Caenorhabditis elegans: one gene and its partners. The protein of the gene in region 4 interacts with the protein of the main gene of each other region in a pairwise test. Each region holds a gene or a part of one and is shown on either strand. Other genes may lie near its edges.

Region 1 (4,933 bases), on a different chromosome or scaffold from region 4:
GTACCTCTAGCAAGAATAATTGGAAGAAGTTCTGAATATTTTGGAAGATACTCTTCAAGTGCTTGTTTCATCAATTTTTCTGCTTCCGCTGGATCTTCTTTTTTCGATTTTCGCGATTTTTTCACATTTTGTTTGTAGACAAGAGTTTTCTCGAAATATGCCGCCCACATCATCAGGTAATGAGCGATAGTTCCGATAAAAAGAAGCACAAGGATTCCTTCATACCATGCAAGTTTTCGCATTCGTCTGGAAAAAATTATTTATAAAACACTATTTTAAAAAAATCCGAATTATTTCAGTTAACCATGTGATATGGAATATGGTGGAATGGGAAGGAAAATATTTTGGTATTTCTGCCAATTTTTAAGACTAACACATTGCATTTTATTTCTGAATTTGATCAGATTTAAGATTGTCACGCAACTTTTATTGGGCAAACCTAGTTACTTTTTTTTTGAAACCATCGCAAAACGTATAATAGCAATGGGGATTTTTTTAAACTATTTATATGATTAATTGGAAAACTCATTCAAATTTTAAGAATATATTTACAGTCAAAAAGCATAATTTTTTAAGAAAAACAATAACAATCTTATGTAGTTTTCTCGTATTTTTCTGTACATTTTTTTTCCAATTTTCAAAAATAAAAACCACTATGTGAATTCCCTCACCTATAGTAATACATAGGATGCCTCCACGAAGGTAACCCATTTTCCAGAACATTATCATATTTTTCACGAAGTTCTGTAGTCTTCAAAACTTCATAGATTCCAGCAACTTGACGAAACTTTTCCGTAGCATCAGGCGCAGAATTCCTATCCGGATGCCATTCAAGTGTCAATTTTCGATATGCTTTCTTTACTTGATTCGACGAGGCATCTCGTGGAATATCGAACCACTCGTAGAAATTAACTCCGACTTCTTCCACTAAATCATATAGAGCCAAATCTTCTGATGTCCATTGACATTCTGTTAAGGATATTAGGAAGGCAAGGAGAAGGATGACCCGCATTCTGCAATAAATATTTCAGAAAATTCAACCAAATTTTTTTAATCTATAAAAATTAGAGATTTAAACGATTTACGTATACATTTTTATTATTGGACCAACAAAAAATAATAAATAACAAAGTTTTTTATTTGGTTTTACGAAATTTTGAAGCGAAGACAATTAAATTTTAAAGTGGCTTCATTAAACAAAAAATAATAAACTCTGAAAGAAGTGAGTGAAGAGATCGGCGAGGTAAAGTCAGGTGCACAGGCGATTTGTTCATCTTGTGCTCATTTCCCAAATTTGAATTTAATCGGAGCCCGAGAGTTGCCTGATTTGTTCAATATCGCCTGCTGCTCATTCTTTTTCATGTCCGATTTCTGACGTGCAAGTTCAGCACGATCTCGTTCCAATTGGCTCTTTTGCTCAAGCATTGCCAAACGATCTTCCTCCTGAAATGAATAACTGTTAAATTAGGTCGAAGTGCGGAAATTTGATTTAATTTAAACTAATAAAATCTAAAATTGATTGTGACTCGCGTTGAAGATGAAGATGATATCCTTGCACAAATACCTGCTAGACGGGGGGCCGAATCATCAGCGACGACATGTCCTTTCGTTTGTTGGCACACAAAATTGTATAAATCAAAGAGGAAATGGAATTAATTGAGGAGAAAAAGAGAGAAAAATTAAGAAAAATGTTCAAGACGAGAAATAGATATTTGATATCTTATAAGCTGCTGAAAAGATGTAGAAAAATGAATAGAATCCGGCAGATTTCGTAGATCTTTCGTATAATTGGAATATTTGCATTCTTGAAGTTGGAGGAGACAACTTACAAATTTCTTGCGACTTTCTTCAGCTTCCAGAACTTTTCTTTCTAGTTCTGCTTCCAATTGTTTGCACTTTTTACGAGATTCTTCCTGAAAACTGGTAACATTAACCTTTGTAGAGGAGAGGAAATGTTTTATAAAGTAGAAAAAAAACTAACATCCCGTTTCTTGCATTCCGCCAATTCTACTGCCATTTCTGCTTCGATTTGAGCTCTCAACATCTTTTCCATCTCATTTCTTGCCGATGTCGCTTTTTCAGCCATCATTGCTTCCAGTTGATGTACACGAGCCGATACCTGAACCATATGCTTTTAAAACGACAAAATTGGAAAGAAATTAATTACCTGCTCAACAATCTTCTCTTCCAGCCATTTTTTAGTTGGTTCGTTCAAAGTGCTCACGTCGAATGGGATGCTTGTGTCAACTGGGGGATCCGACGGTGGTGGTGGAGGAGGAGGTGGAAGTCTTAACGAAAAACAGGTTATAAACTATCTTCAAACTGGATTTTAAAACTTTAACATGATATGTTCATGGAGATAGTAGTTTTTCTCACTTGACAATTATTATAACTTACCACCTAAACTCGAAATTTTGCGATTTTCATTAAAAATACGCTGTCTGGTCTTGAAGTGACCGATTTTCAAAAATGCAAAAGTGTGTGCGCCTTTAAGGAGTACTGTAGTTTACAACTTCTTCTCATTTCCACTGAATTTAACTTGAAATTTATTTGTTTTTATTGCTTTTTCTCATATTTTCAAAAAATGAAATATTTTTCAATCGAAAAACTATGAAAAATCACCTAAAAGCTTGTTTGAATTGAATAAAATCGATCGCTTCGATACCAAAAAGAAAAAACAATAATCTTTTATAAACAAATAATTGTCTAACTTCAAAAAGTGTGATTTTTTGAAATATGAAAATTATTTGAGTTTCCGTATTCTGGAGAAATATCGATTAAAGTTGAAATCTTACTTTGGAGATTCATTTCTCTCTCGTCGACGTCTCTCTTCTCTGAAAATACTTCCCAATTGATGTGGTTCGGCTTGTGAACCTTCTGACGATGAGCTTCGATGCCTGGAACTTTGAACCTTTTATTGATTGAATTTTAAAAATATAAAAACCTCCGTTTTCTCTCTCTATCCTTTCGGTCTCGTTTTCTTTCTCGATCACGATCTCTGTCCTCACGTCTTTTTCTTTCTTCTCGATCTCTTTTTGGTGACCTCGAACGACTTCGTGATCTTCTCGACATTATCGAAAAATCTGAAACGATTTGAATAATGAATTGTTAAATTCTGAAAAAATAAAACTGAAGAAGACAGAAAATGCAGGATGCGTATGTGTATTGACCCGCCAATTGTCGTTGTACACGGCGGTGGACTAGTATTCCCCATGGTTGAAATACGTCCACAAGTATTGCCGGCCATGACCAATTTGCAGTTGCAATTGAATTAATCGAACAAAAATTGTTTCATTTGTTGAGCATTTTAAATAATAAATTAAGCTTGAGAACAAAACAAAAAAAGAAAAATTCCTAGTTGACATGAAATATATTTACAAGTGAAAGATCAAAAAACCCACAATATTTTTCTCACAGAGAACATAAAATCAATAAATATAAATACTAACAAACAAATGGAAAAATGTTTAAAACATCAATCTTTTCTAGTTCCCTGGTTTTTCATCTGAATTACGTAGATCATAGGAATAACGACGATAAGAATGGCGACAAGCGGAAGCCAGATGTTCATGGTTTCCTGTAGGAAAGACTTAAAACAATTAGAAAGCTGTTAATAATTTATATAATTGTACCTTTTCAAATGGATTCTCCGTTCCCGCCGCCGATGGTGCACTGTACATTTCTTCTTCGTCAGGCTCATCTCCTCTGATGATTTGAGGTTTGAAACTATCTTCAGTTGCATCGTCTTCATACTGTAAATTTTTATATTTGAATGTTTACGAAAAATAGTGAAAACTTCGAATTTATTGCATAATATATATTTAATTTTTATCTCTATATCAACTCACAATGTCAAAATCCTCCGGGAAATGATCTTCAACAATGAATTTTTCTGGCGGTGATGGCAGATCTTCAACAGTTCCACGAAGAATAGCGTATCCATTGAGTTTCGGATTATCATGGGGACCTTTTGAGAGCTCAATGATGACTTTTCCTTTGTATTCTCTTGAATGTCCAGACACCGAAATAGAGCTACCCTTGATAACCACTGGAATATAGCTGCAAAATAAAATCATCATTTACTATATATAAAGTAGAGTTTCCTTCCGTCCAATATAGGCCGGACCAACACTAATTCACATAAAATTTAAAATTCCATTAAAAAAAAACAAGTTTATTTATATAAATTTAAAACAAAGTTTTTTTTTCGAACTTTAGTTTAAGCCAATTGGAGGAGGTCGAGTCGTAGTCTCGAACGACACCGGCTGGTTATTTTAATAAATATGAATTATTATTTTAATAAATCTTACACATCATGGGCAAATCCTCGACCGCCAGCTGCATCAAAAATGTCTAGATTTTTGACAGCCAGATGTGAATTGATTCTTATATTGAAAATTTTTTCTCCAGCTTTTTGAAAGTAGACTTCCGAGAATTTCAGAATGATGACGTACTCGCCATCCTCGCTGATTGGAACATCGTAACTAAATGATTCTTTGCTCCATCTCTCAGTCTGAAATACATTTCTTCGATCAACCAGTTAGAATTATTTAAAATCTACCTGATAAATTTCCATATCATCTACTTCAGCATTATTGAATGAGTATTGCATTCCATGATCTGAAGAGACACCATCCTCTGACGTATCTGCAGAATACTCGATTCCATATGCTCCCAAAGCATCAGGGCCTCCTGGAATAACATAAAAAAGTCAATTTCAATATAAAATCTCCATGAAAATCTTACCGCAATTCACTGCAGCAACGACCCGATTCTTCAAATTCACAGTTTTTGCTGACGAGACGACGACAATGAGAAATGAGATGAGCAGAAGCTGGATGCTCATCTGAAATGCACGAATTTGAAATGAGATGGAAAATGGATGAGCGGACATTTATTAGGGAAACGGGAACAAGAGGTCGATGTCCAATTA
Region 2 (5,555 bases), on a different chromosome or scaffold from region 4:
AGCTAAAATTAACAAATTTTTAAAGGAATTTTTGAACCACCATAGGTTTTTAAACACACCAAAAAATGTTCTATTATTTTTCTGCGTCACGAAAAAAGGTAGGTAGGCAATGATTGTATGGAAAAGGGATGAAAAAAAATGGAACTGAAATTGAAAACGGGGCAGCGAATGCGTCAGCCAACGAACAAAACATCATTGTGCATCAGACAAAAAAAAGAAGAAAAATATCACCAAAAAAAGTTTGTCCAACTGATTTTGTTTCAATCAATTCAAGTTCGATGACAACAAATTGGGAGAAGGAAGGGCGTCGCCAATGAAATGAGAAACAAGTTGGTTGAGACGATGAAGAGGAAAGAAAGAAACAACTAAACAGGCAAATAGTTTGTTAGAGAGAGAGAGAGAGAGAGAGAGAAGAGGATAACTTATACTTTCACACAGAGAAAGAGGAACTCTATGTTTTTTGTGTTGAAAAGAGAGAGAGAAAGAACTAAATAGAGAACCGGTTCACGATATCATTGACACTGACCGAAATATGTTTTATTGAACAACATCGAGAGGGATTAAGCATACAGTCGGCAGAAAATTGAGAAATTCTTTCAGTTTTAATTTTAATTTGAATCAGAAGCAAGGGCGTCGGGTTTTCAATTTTTGAAAAAACTAAAAATCGAAAAATCGAAAACTTTTCATTTTTCGATTTTTCTAAAAAGTTTTCGATTTTTCGATTTTTAGTTTTTTCAAAAATTGAAAACCCGACGCCCTTGCTTCTGATTCAAATTAAAATTAAAACTGAAAGAATTTCTCAATTTTCTGCCGACTGTATGCTTAATCCCTCTCGATGTTGTTCAATAAAACATATTTCGGTCAGTGTCAATGATATCGTGAACCGGTTCTCTATTTCATTTTTCGATTTTTCTAAAATTAGCTTTAAAATTTTGTTCATTGTTCTTCATTTTAGAATAAATTGTTTTGTTTTTTTCTCAACAATGTAAACGAAATTAAACTTTAAAAATCATATTTTATGGTTAATTTTCTGAAAAAAAATTGTCTTTTTGATTTTTCGATTTTCCGAAATTTTTAAAAATTCGAAAAATCGAGAATTTTTGTTTTTCGATTTCCAATTTTTCTATTTTGGAAAAACCGAAAAACGACACCCTTTATCAGAAGTATCATAATCTATGTGGATGTATTTTTTTTGTACATTTGAAATTTTCCCGGATTTAATTTTTTCCCGGACCAGAAGAGATAAATATAAATCGAGAGTTTGAGAATAAAAAATAAAAACGAAAATTTCTCGATTTTTTGGACACTAGTAAACTATTTAAGATGAGGCACAATCACTATTTCATTCGAAAAAACAAAAAAATTTCATTATTCGAGCAAGAGACTCCAATTTTTTTTCGATTTTCAAAAAAATTCGTTTTTTTTTTTAATTAAAGCCGGAAAATTGACTTTGTCAGAGCGGAATTTACAGAGGCCTAGCAAAAAATGTGACTCGTGGGCCATTAATTCCTATCCCATTATATTATTTTCAAGAAACTTATAAGTTAGTCATGCCATCGGAATTTCAATCAGTCACGTGTGACAGTCTAATTCTGAATACAAGGAGACGCCCATTTCTCGTCTGCGTCTCTTTATTTTGAATTCGTTGTTTTATTTTTCTTTTTTTTTGGTTAAAAACTAGATTCCTTTGAGAAACATATAATTTCAAATACTTACCACTTCCACAGAAACAGAATCGCCAATTTTCAGATTCAGAATGAAATTGAACCATTCGAAATTTTGATAAACTTCTATTCGTTTCTCTACACTGACAGCCAGAAGATGTCTGAAAAGGGAAAAAATTTTATTTATAAAGATAATAAATATACATTGCTTGATCTTGGTTTATTCTCATTACATCGGATCTGGTAATCATTGCACAAATCAGAGGAGTGCAGTCGAGTTCCTGAAATTTAAAAAAATTGAGAAACTGAAAAGGCATTAATTTGACGAAAAATTTTGTGCCAAAAATACGGTAGCCGATCTCGAAACGACAAATTTTTGGAATTTTTATCGATTTTTTAATCGTTTTTTCAAAAAAAAAAACAAGAATTCTGGAGAAAAACTATACAAATTCAATGAAAATTCGCCGGGAACGAAAATTTTGAATTACAGTTCTTTTAAATTTGTCGCGTCGAGACCCGCTACCGTAGTTTTAGCCGCAAAAATCAGGGTAATTACGATACCTCCATGGGCATTGCTAATCCATCACGTAAATGCGAAGAAGCTCTTGATTTTGTGAACCATTCTTTTAATTCAGACATTTTCCAATCATCATCTGCCATTTCGCGAACCATTGTTCCTGGTGGGATCTGAAAATAGAAAATAAAATTAAAAATGTTTAATTGTGGAAAAAATAAGCAAAAGACCAAATTTCATAACGAAACTTCTCCAAAATGCTTTACAAAAACATGATTTCAGCTAAAACATCAAATTATGCACGCTTTTGAGTGTCGGCCGGATTTTTTTCTCATATTTTGGTTGTTTCTCCGTTGATCAATCGATTATCGGCTCAAAAATTACCTAAATCAACAAAAAAAGCGTTTAAAAAACTTAAAGATGACAAAAAATAAATAAAAATCAAATTTCGGCAGCTACGACACGGAGAATTGGCGATTTTAGATGAAATTCTGTTTTTTTCCCCGAAAACTATCGCTATTCGGTCTTTTTGGCTCATTTTCCTCATTTAAATCCACTTCAATCACCTCAATAACACATGGTTCTTCCTCTCTTCCATAATTCGATGAAAATCGAATTCCTTGAACTTTTCGTTGCAAAAGAGCAACTATTAGCTCGGGAGAATTCCTATTCCTATCCAGCTTCGTCGTCCTATCTCGGCTATAATCGCTAACATCCACTAATTGATCATCTAAAAAGCCGGAGCCAGAAGCTTCATTAATAAGCTCAAATCCATCTATTAATGTGCCGACCGGTATATTTTGATTCTGAAAAAAAAAACGAATTTTTAAAAATCGATTTAGCAAGAATAATGTTACTTACGAGATTTAATCTGTTAGAATTGCTTGTATTTTCACTTGTATATAAATTTGAATTTTTCTCGGACTGTGTAAAATAATCAAAATCGTGTGCAGTTAAATTTGTTATTGTATTTGATCCCGTAAGTTCATCGAGTGGGTTACGAAATTGATGAGATCCAGCTGAAATTAAAAACATAGTTTTAAAAAAAATTATTATTATTTCGTAAAATACCTGATTGCTCCGGAAACTTTGCAAATTCGCCGGGCATTCTGAAATATGCGGGTTGTTTAGAACGTTTGACGAACGACAACATTTCAATAAATGAAATAAAGATTCGTACTATAAGTGGAGAGCGGTGGACGAAGCGCGCGCGCGAAGCTCAGTGTTACGTTTCGGTGAGCAAATAGAAAAGGACGTTGTCCAAACAATTATTAGACTTCCGCATCATATACCTATTTGGTGTTGAATAATATTTTTGGTTTTGACCTCGGGTTTTCCTTGCGCGCTAGGTTTTTTTTGCCGAAAAATAAAACATCGAGCAAGCAAATGACAGAGAACGTTTTCGAAAGAGAATGAGAGAACGAGAGCTTTGACACAATTATTTACAGAAAGCGAGGGAAAATGATAAGAGGCTTGCGGAGCAGATAGTTTATGTTGCAAATGCCATTTAAAATTGCGATTCTCTTCAAAAATGGTAAATTTTATGCGAAAAAATGTAGGCAAAGGTTGAGCATGTTTCTGAAAAATTTATTACGGAATTTACGACGAAAAAATCTTTAAAAATCGCTGAAAATGTTCAAAAATGCATTTAAATGAAACAAAACAAAAATAAAAATTCAAACATGTTTCAAGGGAGGTGCATGTCTGCGGATGGGTCTCGCCGCGCGCGCTGGAAATAAAGTTTTGGTGTCTGCGCCTGTTACTGTACAATTTCTAGGCTTGTTTTCTTCGATTTTATTTGCGGAAAGAAAATTATTGTGTCTTCTAATTTTTTTAAAATGTTCCATTATTTTGTTATTTAACTCAAAATTAATTGTTTTTATAGTTAAAAAAACATTGTTAAAATTCTACAGTAACATTTAAAGGCGCACACACTAAAATTTTATTTTAATTATACATCGCGTGGCGGTACCCAGCCAATATGAGATTTTCCGATATTTAGCGACAGGTTAACATAATTTTTCGCTTTATTTCTTTCTTTTTGAAATAAAACGAAGAAAAAAGATAGTAGTTAGTGGAAAGTGGAAAGTGGAAAGTTTTCAGAAATCAAAATTTCAAAAATATCCAGAATTGCTTTAGAATGAAAGAAAACCGACAAAAACCCAGTGAGCAGATAACAAGATTCCCAGAGCCCACCCCATCTCAAATAGAGCTTCAAATTGACAATTTAAAGTTTAGAGCAACCTTTTCAAGGGTACCAACATGACTAAAAATGTTGTGGCTATTTAAATGAGTATTTGGGTAAATACAAATTTTTTGAGATAAATAAAGAAAAGATGTAACATTCAGATTGCATGTACGTTTGTTTGAGTGCGGTCCAGGCACATGAGTTTATTTGTCAAAAAGATTGGACATTTTGAAGAAGACGAGAACTCGAAATGTAGCTGGAAAGTTTTTTGAAAATTCAAATTTAAAATATAAATTAAAAAATACAGAACCTTTTTTAAATCAAACCGAACACGCAGTTCAATGCAAAAATCGATAAAAGTCGAGGAAACGGAAAGACCGGTTCTCTTGAGGATAGACGGACAACGCATTCGATTGGACTTGCGCACCAATATAAACAACAATTGAATGCAATAAAAATGTAACTGAATCCATCTTATGGAATAGTGGAAGTTATCACATTTAATAAACAAAATTAATAGTTAAAAGTATCAACAGAAAATACATTAAATTATCTTTTCGTCTCTCCTATTGAACATTGAGTTATTCAAGATAATATTTTTTAGCTAGAAATGACGTGTGTTGAACTATTGTGTGGCCTTAAGTTTGGAACCATAATACTATAATGTGAACTTAAAGACGCACGGATTCATTCAGATGGGTCTCGTAGCGATAATAATAACCGGGGCTCATCTTAAAGTCTCCAGTAGTCGCTTTTTAAAAGGAGTTTGAGATAAAATACTTAGAATTTGAAGAGAGAAATAGGATTTTAAAAAAAATTAATTGAAAAACTAACTTGGAGAAAAACTATTAATATAGAAGTGAAAAATATATTATCTAGCCAGGTAGGACGGAAACTGAATACAAAAAAAATATTAAATTCAAACTGCCGCGTTTCTTTTTGCCAGTGTGTCTAATTCTCTTGGCACATGGTCAGAGAGGTTTCGCAAGAAATATTTCAACATTTTCTTGATTACCAAATATGTACAATTATATATCTAAACAGATAACTTTTCATTTGCTAGAAAATAGTATTATATTTATTATTAATAAAGAATTTTTACATTTTCCAGAAATGTGAAAATTCACAGTAAAAGTTTTGGCAAACTGCCAAAAATGTTCAGTCACTTATTAATGCCAAAATTTTTAAA
Region 3 (6,835 bases), 8.0 Mb from region 4:
GTACAAACGATACTCCGTTTTTACACATTGCGCCGGGTTTGTCGTAATTTGTACGACGTATCAAAAAATGTTCTGAAGTATATTTCTAGGTGAATTTTGAGGAAATAATACTAATTTAATCAGTTTATCACGTTCAATAGATTTATTTCAAGATACACTTACAAATATTGTAACATTTTTATAAGAACTTCTGTCACAACTTGCAAAAATGTTTAAATTCTGTTAAATTTTCGTTTTAAGGATACGTGTTAAGAGGAGCCAACGTACAAACAAAATTGTGCATGTTTTTTCTGCAAATTCATACGTTTTAACGTATTATTTGCACTTTTATTCGTGCTAATTTTCGAAATTTGAATGAAGGAAAACTTTTTTAGGTTGATTGTTTTAATCGTCCCAATATAGCTGACAAAAAACGGGCAAGCCATAACATTAAAAATATAAAAATAAATTTAGATGCTTTTTCAAATTTTGAATAGTCAAATAATACTTTCGAGTATCATTCAAGACGTTTCGTGATGAAATTATCAATCGTGAGCAGAATGAGTCTCTGGAAAAGAAAACGCCTCTAGAAAAGAAAAACGATACTTGTGTAGTTGTTGTACTCCAAAATGTTCGAAATGGAGGAATTTCCATAATAGTCAACATACGTGTTTTATTGGTATTTTTATTTCACGCTTATGAACGATTTTTTTCTAAGCCTACAATACAGAAAGGATTTACGTTTTATTTCTGGAAAATATTGAATACTATTTTGGGTACAGTTATCACACAATTACCGAAAAAAAGTTTAATTTTGTATTATCTATCTATCATAATTGCATTTTACGATTTATTTAAAATAATAATACTATACTGTGATCTTCGAAGGATTCATTTTTATAGTGTACCAGAGGTTATTTTACTAAATTTATTAAAATCCAATAAAAATCTTGAAAGAAAAAGTGCAGTGAATATATATATATATTATATGCAAATCAAAAGTACAGATTTTGGAGAGGGGAGGCCTTTGGTGTTTTGGATTCAGTTAACAATTAAAGAGGCGAGTTTAGAAAAAAGAGGTTGTTGTTCAGTGTATAACACGAGCGTTGATTAAATAATCTATGAACAGTGCTTCCCAAACTACATAGATTTGACAAAGGATTATTAGGAAATGTTGAAAACAAAATACAAAGGTAAGTTTAAAACAAAACGTCACGATGAGTGGAGAAAATGGAGATCCGATTTCAATTTGAGTCAAGGAATTCTAATTGTCATTGAAAAGGGGAGGTTGAGGATTTGAATAAGGCGAAGAGCTCACCGGCTAACTTCGGTATAACAACGACACAAACTAATAAAAGCTGGAGTATAGTAAAGCCGAAAACCATTTTAATGCCTACATTTCGAGGTAATCGAGAACATTGGCGGTCAGGAGAATATGGGTGTTTGGACTGTGAAAGGAAACTTGGAAAACATTTCAAAATCTTGAATATTCAAAATATATAGGACGGGAATCACACATATGAAACGTTAGGTGTATTGCAAATTTTGTTGAATAACTTTTTGGACCAGGCAATCTATTAAATGCAAATAAAGAGGAGAATTTCTAATTTTTGTAGTGAAATTTTTTTAATTGTGTTTACTCATGAACTTTCTTCTTTTGGCTTCACATCGGATATCAGACTATTCATGTCAGCAAAATTCGTAGGACTCGTGGATGTTGCAGCAGCTCCGGAACTTTCAGTTGGAGTGGGTGATGAGCTTCCCGCTCTACTATTCGATTTCGAGTCTTCAGTTTTTAATGCTACAACATCGGTGACTTCAGCCGTAGCTCCTGCTGGGACTGATCCCAGAAGCTGAGTGCGGAAAGCATCCATAGCTCTGCTGAATTGTTGAACATAAAGCAACTGCTGCGTAACAGGAGTAATTCCACCGAACAACATATTTAATGCATCTGCGTTTTGGAACGTAGGTGTCACAGAAGTTGGCAAGATTGGAGAAGATGTGGTCACTGGTACAGACGGGGACTGAGACCGACGATCAGATGTTGCAATCCGTACTTGTTCATCTGAAATTTTATAGTTGCAGTAACTTGCGCTAGGCATGAAGAACTATCAATTTGGTATATAACAGTAAAAAACTTACTTAAAAGATGAGCCGCGGCTTGCTGATTGATAGCTGCAAAAATAGCTTCTTGGCTGAGCATCATCTGGTACGGATTATCTCCATTTGAATTTGGAATACTCATTGGAGCTTGATAAGGGTGATGAGTACTGCTGCGTTCTTGTTTGCGATACTTGGCTCGTCTGTTTTGAAACCAAACCTGAAAAACATAACGATGAAGATGACGCTGGGAAACGATTCACTACGCAAGAATATTTAAATTGTAAGCTTGTTTTTCTTACTACTTAATTCTTGAAACAAATATTCTAAAAGATGATGCATCGGAATTTGCTTTGTTTAACTTTCTTACATGCGAATGGTCGTCTTACTGTTTAACTGTGATATACAAGTCCCAATGATAATTTTTTTATTGATTGATTAAATAATGTTTCAAAAGTCACAAAACAATTTTTATATTGGTTAGATTTAATCTAACATGTATCTTACCTAACAATAGATACCACTTATCGCATTAGATCGACATTAATTTTATTATAACTGTAATATGAACCGAGCAGATGAGCTATTAACGCCAATGTGTTGGTCCCCCCTCGTTACCTTATTTAAAAGCAAGGTGACGATGATCTATTAGAAAAAAGAGATTAGCAAGCAATCGCGTGAAGCAATTTAGATAACATCGCGTGCTTAACTAATTTTTTCATTCGCTGGGTATAAGTACTCATTCGTGATATATTCAATCTACACAATCTCGTCGCGTCATTCCAACACCACCACATGATGGGACCAATACTGCCTTTTCAATGTGCCCCACTATTGGCGCATTTATAATTCGTTATGCATTATCAAATGAATTTGGGCGAAGAGATCTCGAGATGAAATCCTACTGTAACTTACTTGAACTCGGGCCTCTGTGAGCTGGACTCGTGTTGCCAATTCTTCCCTGCAAAAGATTTTCGGTGTAATTAAGCACTTGAAAGCGGTTTTAAAAGGAAGGGGGAATCTAGTAAGAGGGGTTCTTGAATGGTAGCACCACGCCGGAGCAATTGTCATTGCTCAATTAGATCTGAATTGAGACCGGACCTTGGTACTTCTTTCGGCACTGCGTCAATTGATCACGCATTGTTTTTGGGTAAACGCATGGCTTAAGAGGCAAAAGTCAGTAATTAATCCGTGCAATATCTAATTGATGAACGGAACAGGTGGTCACGCTCTTCCTACACAAGACACCTACCCACGTCTTAATTCCTGTTAATTCTTGTTAGTAAGATAGGATCACGATAAGATCATCACAGGTGAGAATGTCTAGGATTCGCTAATTTTTCTATGAAAATCAGATTTTTTCCAAAGATCTAGCTCCAACAGTATATACTTTGCAACCTTCAGAGTTTGAAAAATTAATAAATTAAGCATTTGGTTGCCTGCTCAAAGTTGAATAGCAAAATAATACTTTCCAACTTTTACCAAAACAACAGATTACATTTCTACTCGCTACATTGTTTGTTTAATTAATCTAATTTTATAAAAATCTAGTCCCTTGGTTCTAGAAATTATGCGACCCTCGTAAAACTAAATGGCCCTCTCTAATATTGAGCAAATGAGTTTGTGCTTCTTCAATTAAAGCGTCTGTGCGCAAACACACGCAACGCGACACTTGATATTGTGCATTTTGCATGATTGCTTCATTATGAGTTTCGCCTTTTTCCTGTCCTCCCCACCTCTTCACCACTTCATTTTTCATTTTCATTTCAAATTGGATTTGTAAAAGAAATGTTAAATGTAGAAGGTAAAAAAGGTGAAATATGCTGAACTTGACCTCGATCATTATAATGTTTGAAATTGATAATTAGTGCCATATGGTGTAAGAACGCAACACAACTGTTTCCAAATTCAGGGAGAAGGGAAGGAAAGTGAAATTTTCATATTTAATTAGTAACTCATTCTTACCGAGTGAACACATCTGGATAGTGAGTCCTGGCAAACACCTTCTCAAGCTCGTCCAACTGAAATGCACTGAATGTTGTACGGTATCTTCTTTGTTTCCTCTTTCCATTATCATCCGGACTGTTTGTGCCATCTGAAGGGGATCCGTTTTCTCTATTGTCAAGTACTGAGGCAGCTTCTAAAATATTATCTGAAAACTTACGAATATATTTTATTAAATTAAATTAAAAAATAATATCTTACCTCCAGTGGGCGTTTTCTTTCCATCGTCTTCTTTCAGCTCATGCTGATTATTAGTCAGCGCCGCAATAGAAAAAGCTGGTGGAAATGATGGGAACTGTAACGCTGGATTTGCAAACAATTGTGCCTAAAAACGACGTGTTAAAATTTAAAAATATTTAACAACGCTACCTGTAACTGTTCCATAAGACTTTTTGAATACTGATTCAAATCAGCTCCATTGGGCCTGTGAAGTGGCGGGCAGTTCATGTCTAGATCTTTCTCGTCTTTGGAAGAGTCTTCTTTCTTCAACTCGGGCATACACAATGTGAATCCAAGTTGAAACGATTTACCAAAGTTGAAAGAAGGAAGCGAAAACAGCTGGAAAAAATGTATAGCTTTATGTTGAAAATAACAATGAGAAATGATCAAACGAATAAAACGAAACGAATAAAAAAGACAAATCAACATGAAGATAATGCTAGAGAATAATATGATGTGTAGAAGTAAAGTCAGCTAATTGAATCATGGACTTATTTGCATTCAGAAAAATTAATATTTTTACTATGATGAGTAAATGAATTCAATTTTACAAGAAGAAGCTTGGAACTCATCAAAGTAGACAGAAAGCTTAGTTCAAATAAAAGTCCACGCCCAAAATCGCCTGATGATTGAGCCCGGTATTTTGATATTTCCTTGTAAAAATACATGATGTTAGGAAAAAAGGGAAGAGCCAAAAAGTGATGCGTTTATCTGGTTTATTTCGAGATGATCTACCTGACAAATATAGAATTTTAAGAAGATAATTTGATTGTGGGCGAAAGGATTTGGCAACATGGCTTGCCGAATTAACAAAATGTGAGTGTTATTTTGAATGGTGAGGCATTCTAATTCTTCATTTACGCACAACGCACAAATTCCAAAATTTTTGAATCTTAAGTGCTAGTTTATCCCAATATCCTCTGTCTCTTTTTATGTCCTCAATCCTTAAACAAATGATGAGTAGGATTTTATATATATGCCAAAAAATCACTGTCTAAAATTAGATATTCCTAGATTTTACAGATCACGATGATGGGATACTAAAAAGTCGAAATCAAATCAGATAAGCGGATTTCGAAAACACATCTCTACGACAGTTGGAATAAATAAAAAAGAAAAACAGTTCAGATTGATATTAATGGAATTTAGAGGTTTTGATTGTCTAATTTGATAAGATCTACTCAACTTTCATGTTTACCGCCAATACAGAAAAAAAGTGAACTTCTTATCAAATCTTGTCAGTGAAAAGATCACAAAACGGAAACCATGCTATGACAATGAATTAGACTAATTCGATTTTCCCTTTGCCTGGAAAATAAGAAAATCTACCGAGAACCGAATGGCGATCAACATATTCAATTAGTTAATGTGTTAAAAGATGGCGACTTTTGCCAACCACCGAAAATGACGGGGGGGGGGGGGGGGGGCAAGCGGGCTTAAAAGGGGAGGGGGTACACATTATTTTTCCTTGTTTTCCTGCCCTTTCACCTTTGTCTTTCAATTTCTCTCTCTCTCTCACTCCAAGGGGTCGCTTTTCCTGTTAGGATCAAATTACCATTTGCCACATTTTCATTAACTAATGAAATTATGAGAATGTGGGCTCCGTACTGCTCCCGGCAAAAGGTGTGATGTGCAAACGGCAAATATACCGTTTTACAAAAAAATAAATTTCTCTTGAAAAGTCTAGAAAAAGCAAGTTGGAATTTTTGAAAAACTAAAAGTAAACATTAATTATCATTTCGAAAAGCAGACCAAAGTTATTATTAAAACTTGAAACATTAAAATTATAATTCAGTACAAAGAGAAATTAAAACATGAATTGAGAAATCTGTCACAGTGGACACCCAGGAGGTAAGCAAGCAGGGAAAGCTTAATAGGATTTCTAAATAGGTTCATTAATGGATGAGGTATCTTGAGGCGGGCGGTGCATATATTACGAGATGTGTAATGATATAATTATTGTGTTGGAATATCTGAATTTTCTGTTTTCGATGTGCCTCGTCTTGCCTTTTTCCTCCTCCATCCGGAGTGTATTTGCACGATACCTGAGAATGATGTAAACGCAGAAGCTAGCCTCTAATTCAATTAGGCTTGGAAAATTAAGCTCAAAGCAAACTGATTCGAATAATTCTAGTAACTCGGATTAGAAGGAAAATAAGGAAAACGACTTTTTCGGAAATAGTTTAATTCACCGGAAATGAAACAAGTCACGGAGTTCCGAAACGCACACGTTTTTGCATATCTTGGAGATCAGTGAGGAAACAAAAATTAAACACCGAATTTTAATACAATTATCAAAAATGAATGTAACAAATAGAGGCAATTGGTTTGGTAAGTGTCAACCCGGGAGAGCAACACTCCACTCTTTTCCGGCTCCGCCCACCAAGTGTCTTGAGCACACCACCGTAGTTTTGGACAGAGCAAGATCTGCTGTTGTAGTTTGGGTCATTGGATACCTAGAAAACACTTTCAGCAATGTCATTACGATTACATGGTCATTAGAGTGCTCATAACTGCAGCACTCTAAATAAGA
Region 4 (5,425 bases):
TCTTGTTTGTAGCATCGACCAATTCGTTCCACAAGTTGTTGACTTGACGAAGGCGGTCTCCGATCTGAAAAAAAGTTACTAATAGTTATAAAAAGTTGATAACTTACATGATCAGCAGCAAAGTGTCCACTATCGATGATTTGCTCTCCGGTAGAACGAATATCGTCCAAACGGTTCTCGTTAGCCTTAAGCTCTTGCTCAAAGTTGATGTGCTTTTGGAGTTTTCCACGAATGTTGGTAGGATCCAAGTAAGAATCGTCACGAGCGGTGGACAGTTTTTCAGTGATCCAGCTAACCATCTCATCACAGTCACGGTCAAATGTCTGGCGCTTGTAGCTTTCCTTGAGAGCATTTCCACGTTGACGAGCTCTGTCTAGAAGACGACGACGACGGTCAAGAAGAGCTTGGCGTCTCTCGGCAACATCATCAGCAGCGTAATGCTGTCCTTGAATGAGCTTGGTAGCAAACTCGTCAAGTGCATTGATCTTCTCCTCTTGAGCAGCAAGCGATTTCTCAAAGTCCTCGTGTTTCTTGATGAGGTGCTCGACAGAATCTAGTGAATCTCCCAAATCAGTGTTGGCAAGGAACGCTTCCTGCTTGTTCATCCAGGTTTCGGCTTGTTCAGTGTCACGATAGAAGAGTTGGAGATCCATACATTGCTCGTAGAGAATACGACGTTCCTCCCACAATCCAAGAAGAGAAGACTTCTCGTGGTCAAGTTTCTCGAGCTTCTCCTGAACTTCTGGACTCTCTGGAATTCCCATCTCAACGAGCTTTTGTCCAGCGGATGCAGTTTGGTTGAACGAGTCAGCACGAGCATCAATTTCTCCCTTGTGTTCTTGATGACTTTCAAGAAGAGCTTCAGCGCCAGCCACGTCTTTTGCAAGCTCATCAGCTCCGATGACAGCTTTCATGTCTCCAATCCAGCTAATCAAGTCACGGTAGTCGGCCAAGAAACGATGAAGCTGGAAGCTTCTCTCAAGTCCATCTTTGCGGTGTTGAGCCTTCTCCTTGAGTGCATTCCAGGCGGCTTTGGTGTCATCGTTCTTTTGATGAATCGCTTCAGCACGATCTGGATGAGTTTCTGCCAACTTATGAGCTTCTTTCTCCAATTGGAGCATCTTTCCTTCAAGAGCAGCAAGATCACGTTCAGTTCCTTCATGCTTGCGTTGAAGAGCTTGAACATTATTGAGGTCTCTTCCGTAATCATCGCTTGACAAAGCAAGATCCTTCTCTCCAATCCATGCAAGGGTCTCGTCTGCATCGCGATTGAAGCGTTGAACTTGATGAGCTCCAAAGAGCCCTTCCTTACGAGTGGCCGCCAAAGTGTTCAAACGATGCCAAGCATCATTAACGTCATCGCGCTTCTTGTAGATCTGATCGTGCTCAGAGTGTCCCTCCTCGACAAGTTTGTCAGCAGCTTGATTGATCTCATTGATTCGGTACTGATGGTTACCGAGTTCTTTCAAAAAGTCGTCAAATTTACGCTGAAGTATCTCAACGTGTTCGAGATCCATTCCCATGTCTTCTGCGGTGACATAGGTTTCCTTCTCTCGAATCCAGTAGAGAATTTCATCGCATTGACGAATAAAATGCAAAAGTTTAAGTGCTTGTTGTAGCTTAATTCCCTTATCCTTCAGTTTGAAGAAGAGCTTATCCCAGAGGGCGTGCAACTCTTCCAAGCGTTTCTGAAAATAATTAATCATCAGACTGTCAAATGTCTTTAGTGATTTTAAGTACCTTGATGTGTTCGCTAGCGAAATGATTGTGTTGGATCATAGCGTTTCCGGTCTTGTCGAGGTTGGCGATGGTCTTAGCGTGAGCTTGAACCTCAGCTTCGAACGCTTCATGCTTCTGGATCTTGGCCTGAAAATGTTTTATGATTTACATTTGATCATACTTTCATTTTGATGTAAAAAAATTTTCTCTTTCAATTCATGCTTCAAAACTAGTCAACTCTTACTCTCATTTTTTTTTCAACCGCTAAACCTAGCAACAGAAACATAATCGCCTCATCTATCTTCTTACTCGTCAGTATTACTTATCATTCCAGGCATTACAGGAAACCGGCGGATCAAGTCAGGTCACGTCAGTTGCGATTACGCAGTGTCAAGGCCGTGTACGAACGCCCGACTTTTTATAGATTCCCGTCTATTACTATATGTATTCATCTCATCTTTCGATCGGAACGCATGATAAAAAACGGCGGCGAGGATTAATTGGAACCCCCACAGGAATTTATTGGGTTTTCAGTGTGTTTCATTATAAGTAAAGGTGAATGATATTAGGAGCAGTAAAAAATTGTTTCCTCAAAGACTTTTTAACTCCTAATTTCTAGCGCTCATATCTTCCAAAATGACGATATTGTGTAAAAAGATTTCATTTTCATCTTTTCTGCTTCCCAGAAAATAACTAAGTTAGCAAAATTCACATGTACTCCTCTCTACTCGAGCCAATTGTTTATAAATGTAATTGTGCACTACATTGCTTTCAGTTCCTAATCTTCAAGTGAGCATGCATGTTGGGGGTCGCAGATGCGTTTCTCGAAACGAAGGCACAGAGAAAAGCGCTGAAGCGAACCACTCAAATCAATATATTTTTGCTGCTGCGCCTTTGTCGTTGCTCCCAAAAGACATTTGTGTGCCCCCAAACAAGGCAGCAGAAGAAAGGGGTCCGAGTGTCCCCCCGAGGGAAAATGAACCAAGAGAAAAGAATTGTGCGAGTTGTCGTCAAAAAGGATTGAGAATGGAAAGCTGGGGACCAACCACAGAAAATTTATGTTTTAGATAACTTTGAAATAGATGATGAATACGACTGAGAAATAATGAGAAGATGGTACCAACCTGGAGATTGCTCGGATCTCTGAAGTTTTCTTCCTGAGCTGTCTGGAGCTTTTCAAGAATCCAAACGTTCAACTCATCAGCATCTCTTTAACAGAAAAATTAGAATTCTAGACAACCCAACAAAATTTTAGAACTAACCGTTTGAAATATTGAAACTGACGAGCTTCCTCGAGACGATCTCGTTTTGTCTGCGAGTGATCCTTGAAAATTGAATAGTGACCTAATACTTCCTGACGACGTTGGTGAATGTCATCAGCAGTCTCCAGAATACGAATCTCCTGTGGTGGCGGTACTTCTAGCACCGGCTCTGGTGGAGCATGAGTGTCATTCGAATCAGCCATAATCTTATTTCGCTGAAAAACAATTGTTTTAAAACCTCCATAGAAATGAAAATGAAAGAAAGTTGATTATGAAGAGACCGTAACAGAAACAAATGAGCAAATAAATGAGAAGAATGTAACAAAAAAAATCAGAGAGAGCTTTAGAGGATAAATACAACGTGGGAACAAATAATGACGAAGTGCGGAAAAGAATCACCTGGGAGACAAAAAATAATAGAAAATGGGAAAGCTTGTGGCTTTAATTTAATAAGCTTATAAATTCTACGAATGAAAATTTACCAAGAAAGTGTTACTCAAAAAGTATATCATGTCAAAAGTAATTTTAAAAGGTGGTTCCATTTCCAGCCCACACAACTGTCAACATTTTTGAACTGATAACAATATTTCGATGAGTCAGACTAACTCCGACTCCGCCGTTTACAAGCTGTGTTGAAATTGAACACACAGCTGTCAGAAACAGAAGAGACATTACAAAAAAGGGGTTTTGCACAATGCAGCAAATTTTGAAAATGATGAAACAAGAAAGAATATGCTCTCAAAGTGAAAAAAGGAGATGACTTCAACTGGTTCAAGTACAAGAAGAGCTGGCAGCTATCGATCGCCCAAAACGACCCCCGCGTCCACAACACCAACACAAAACCGAATGCAGAGAACGAGAGAGTGTGGCTAGAGAAGCAGAGACAACAAGAGGGGAGACGACTGCAGGCCTGGACGCGCTCGTCCCGCTCAGCCTCGCACACAGCCGCGCTCTGACTGCCCTCACACACACTCACACACACACACACTCACAAAAACGCACTCTTCTATTAAATGCCAGCGATTTCCTCTCAACAGCACACAGTCCCTCACCGAATGCATCATCCTCCATCTCTCCAGTTACTCGCAGTTTGACTCTCTCTCTCTCTCCGGGGTCTCCGCCAACACACACACCACCGACCACACATTTATGTATATATTCGGAGATGGAGTATAAAGTATGTCCTCCAAATATTTGCAAGTTTCACTGATGTGTTGTCAATAAAATTGGGTAATCGATTTGGAACGGAAGAAGTGATGATGAAAGAGAAAGTGACAGAAATTATTAAAACGGGAAGCGGGAAAGCGGGAAGGATAACCGAAAAAACATAACTTCAAAATTTGGAAGTAAAAGTGAGTAAATGAGCAAATTAGAAATTTCTTTGCACAAAAGAATATTCGTTTTAGTTTAAAAACCACGATACAAAACCTCCAAACTCAAATAACTACATCCACTTACGCTAAACAACTGAATGATTTAAAACAATAGGGGACCCCATTCTATCAAATCTAAAAGCATCCACACAAAAAGCCGAAAAAGGGATTCTTCAAGGGCTTTTTTCTTAAGTGACATGGTCAAGCTTTGGTTCATAACAAAAGTGAGCAAACACCGGAAACGGGGAGCCGCGCCAAATCTGTCAAGTGCCGGATGGAGGCCACCTGCGTTCGAAAACTTCCTGCGGACACATGAGTGAAGGACGGCAATGAAGGAGAAGGAAACACAAATGAAAACTATTAGTTCTCTCTCGTTTTCGAGTTCGTCACACTCTGAGAAGAGGCAAAGAAATTCGATACAGCTCGGGGCGACGTTTCGTTGAAGACGGAGGGCAGAGCATCTTTCAAATTCTTATTTTACGTCAGAATTTGGCATTGATGCCAACGGAAGTTTTGTTTGAAATGAAGAATAAAACATTATAGAAAATACAGTGTGGGAAAGTTCTATAGGACCCCCCCTAATTTGAAGGTTTGAGGAACTTCCGAAAATTTTTTTGAAAAACTGCTAATGCCATTCGTTTTTAAATTGAAAAAAACCTATATACATTTTTTTCCAGAAGTTTATCTCAAAAACTGAGGTCGCGCTGGAAAAAACGTCAAAATCCAGTGTGAAACTTCTATAGGACCCCCCGTTTTTTTTCACGATTTTTACTAAAATCAACAGATTTTGGAATTTTTGACAAAGCTCAAATCAAGTTTGAGTTAGAAATGAGTTCATATAAGCAGTTTTGACTTTAAAAATTAATACGAAATGTTCTCGTGGGATCTCCAGACTGGTTCTGATTCTTCCGATCTTTGATGTTCAAGTCTGTTTCAAGCTTCCTGGTGCTCTCGGTAATGCCAAAACTTGATAAACTCTCTTTAACAAGTTCCTACTAAAATTCCTAGCACGCACTTTAGATGTTTCGACTGTGTAGTCAAGCTGATTTGGCAAAATATGCAGCAGGAAAC

Evidence for each region.
Region 1: the proteins of spc-1 (region 4) and F44E2.3 interact in a two-hybrid assay, tested with the Caenorhabditis elegans proteins (one large-scale study listed by BioGRID).
Region 2: the proteins of spc-1 (region 4) and cyld-1 interact in a two-hybrid assay, tested with the Caenorhabditis elegans proteins (one large-scale study listed by BioGRID).
Region 3: the proteins of spc-1 (region 4) and alr-1 interact in a two-hybrid assay, tested with the Caenorhabditis elegans proteins (one large-scale study listed by BioGRID).

What each region holds. Positions count from the first base shown.
Region 1 is NC_003281.10:8,826,216-8,831,148, forward strand, and holds F44E2.3 (uncharacterized protein), read right to left. Parts: upstream 3,091-4,933; 5' UTR 3,073-3,090; coding exon 2,945-3,072; intron 2,898-2,944; coding exon 2,796-2,897; intron 2,289-2,795; coding exon 2,168-2,288; intron 2,120-2,167; coding exon 1,982-2,119; intron 1,914-1,981; coding exon 1,830-1,913; intron 1,444-1,829; coding exon 1,282-1,443; 3' UTR 1,118-1,281; downstream 1-1,117. Other genes in the region: F54F2.9 (DnaJ homolog subfamily C member 1), read right to left, coding at 1-246, 672-1,012; F44E2.10 (Malectin domain-containing protein), read right to left, coding at 3,476-3,577, 3,633-3,752, 3,849-4,059, 4,311-4,513, 4,562-4,692, 4,747-4,894.
Region 2 is NC_003281.10:9,907,372-9,912,926, forward strand, and holds the start of cyld-1 (ubiquitinyl hydrolase 1), read right to left. Parts: upstream 3,288-5,555; 5' UTR 3,287-3,287; coding exon 3,250-3,286; intron 3,198-3,249; coding exon 3,040-3,197; intron 2,985-3,039; coding exon 2,745-2,984; intron 2,352-2,744; coding exon 2,226-2,351; intron 1,946-2,225; coding exon 1,869-1,945; intron 1,826-1,868; coding exon 1,717-1,825; intron 1-1,716.
Region 3 is NC_003284.9:11,120,978-11,127,812, forward strand, and holds alr-1 (Homeobox ARX homolog alr-1), read right to left. Parts: upstream 4,644-6,835; 5' UTR 4,582-4,643; coding exon 4,453-4,581; intron 4,409-4,452; coding exon 4,285-4,408; intron 4,232-4,284; coding exon 4,045-4,231; intron 3,967-4,044; exon of another isoform or gene 3,674-3,966; intron 3,241-3,673; exon of another isoform or gene 3,094-3,240; intron 3,041-3,093; coding exon 2,995-3,040; intron 2,300-2,994; coding exon 2,122-2,299; intron 2,045-2,121; coding exon 1,620-2,044; 3' UTR 894-1,619; downstream 1-893. UniProt on the Caenorhabditis elegans protein: Transcription factor. Involved in activating or repressing transcription of genes in neurons. Regulates expression of nuclear hormone receptor odr-7 and LIM homeodomain protein lin-11 in AWA and ASG chemosensory neurons.
Region 4 is NC_003284.9:3,123,878-3,129,302, forward strand, and holds the start of spc-1 (Spectrin alpha chain), read right to left. Parts: upstream 3,185-5,425; coding exon 2,982-3,184; intron 2,929-2,981; coding exon 2,844-2,928; intron 1,867-2,843; coding exon 1,741-1,866; intron 1,689-1,740; coding exon 108-1,688; intron 65-107; coding exon 1-64.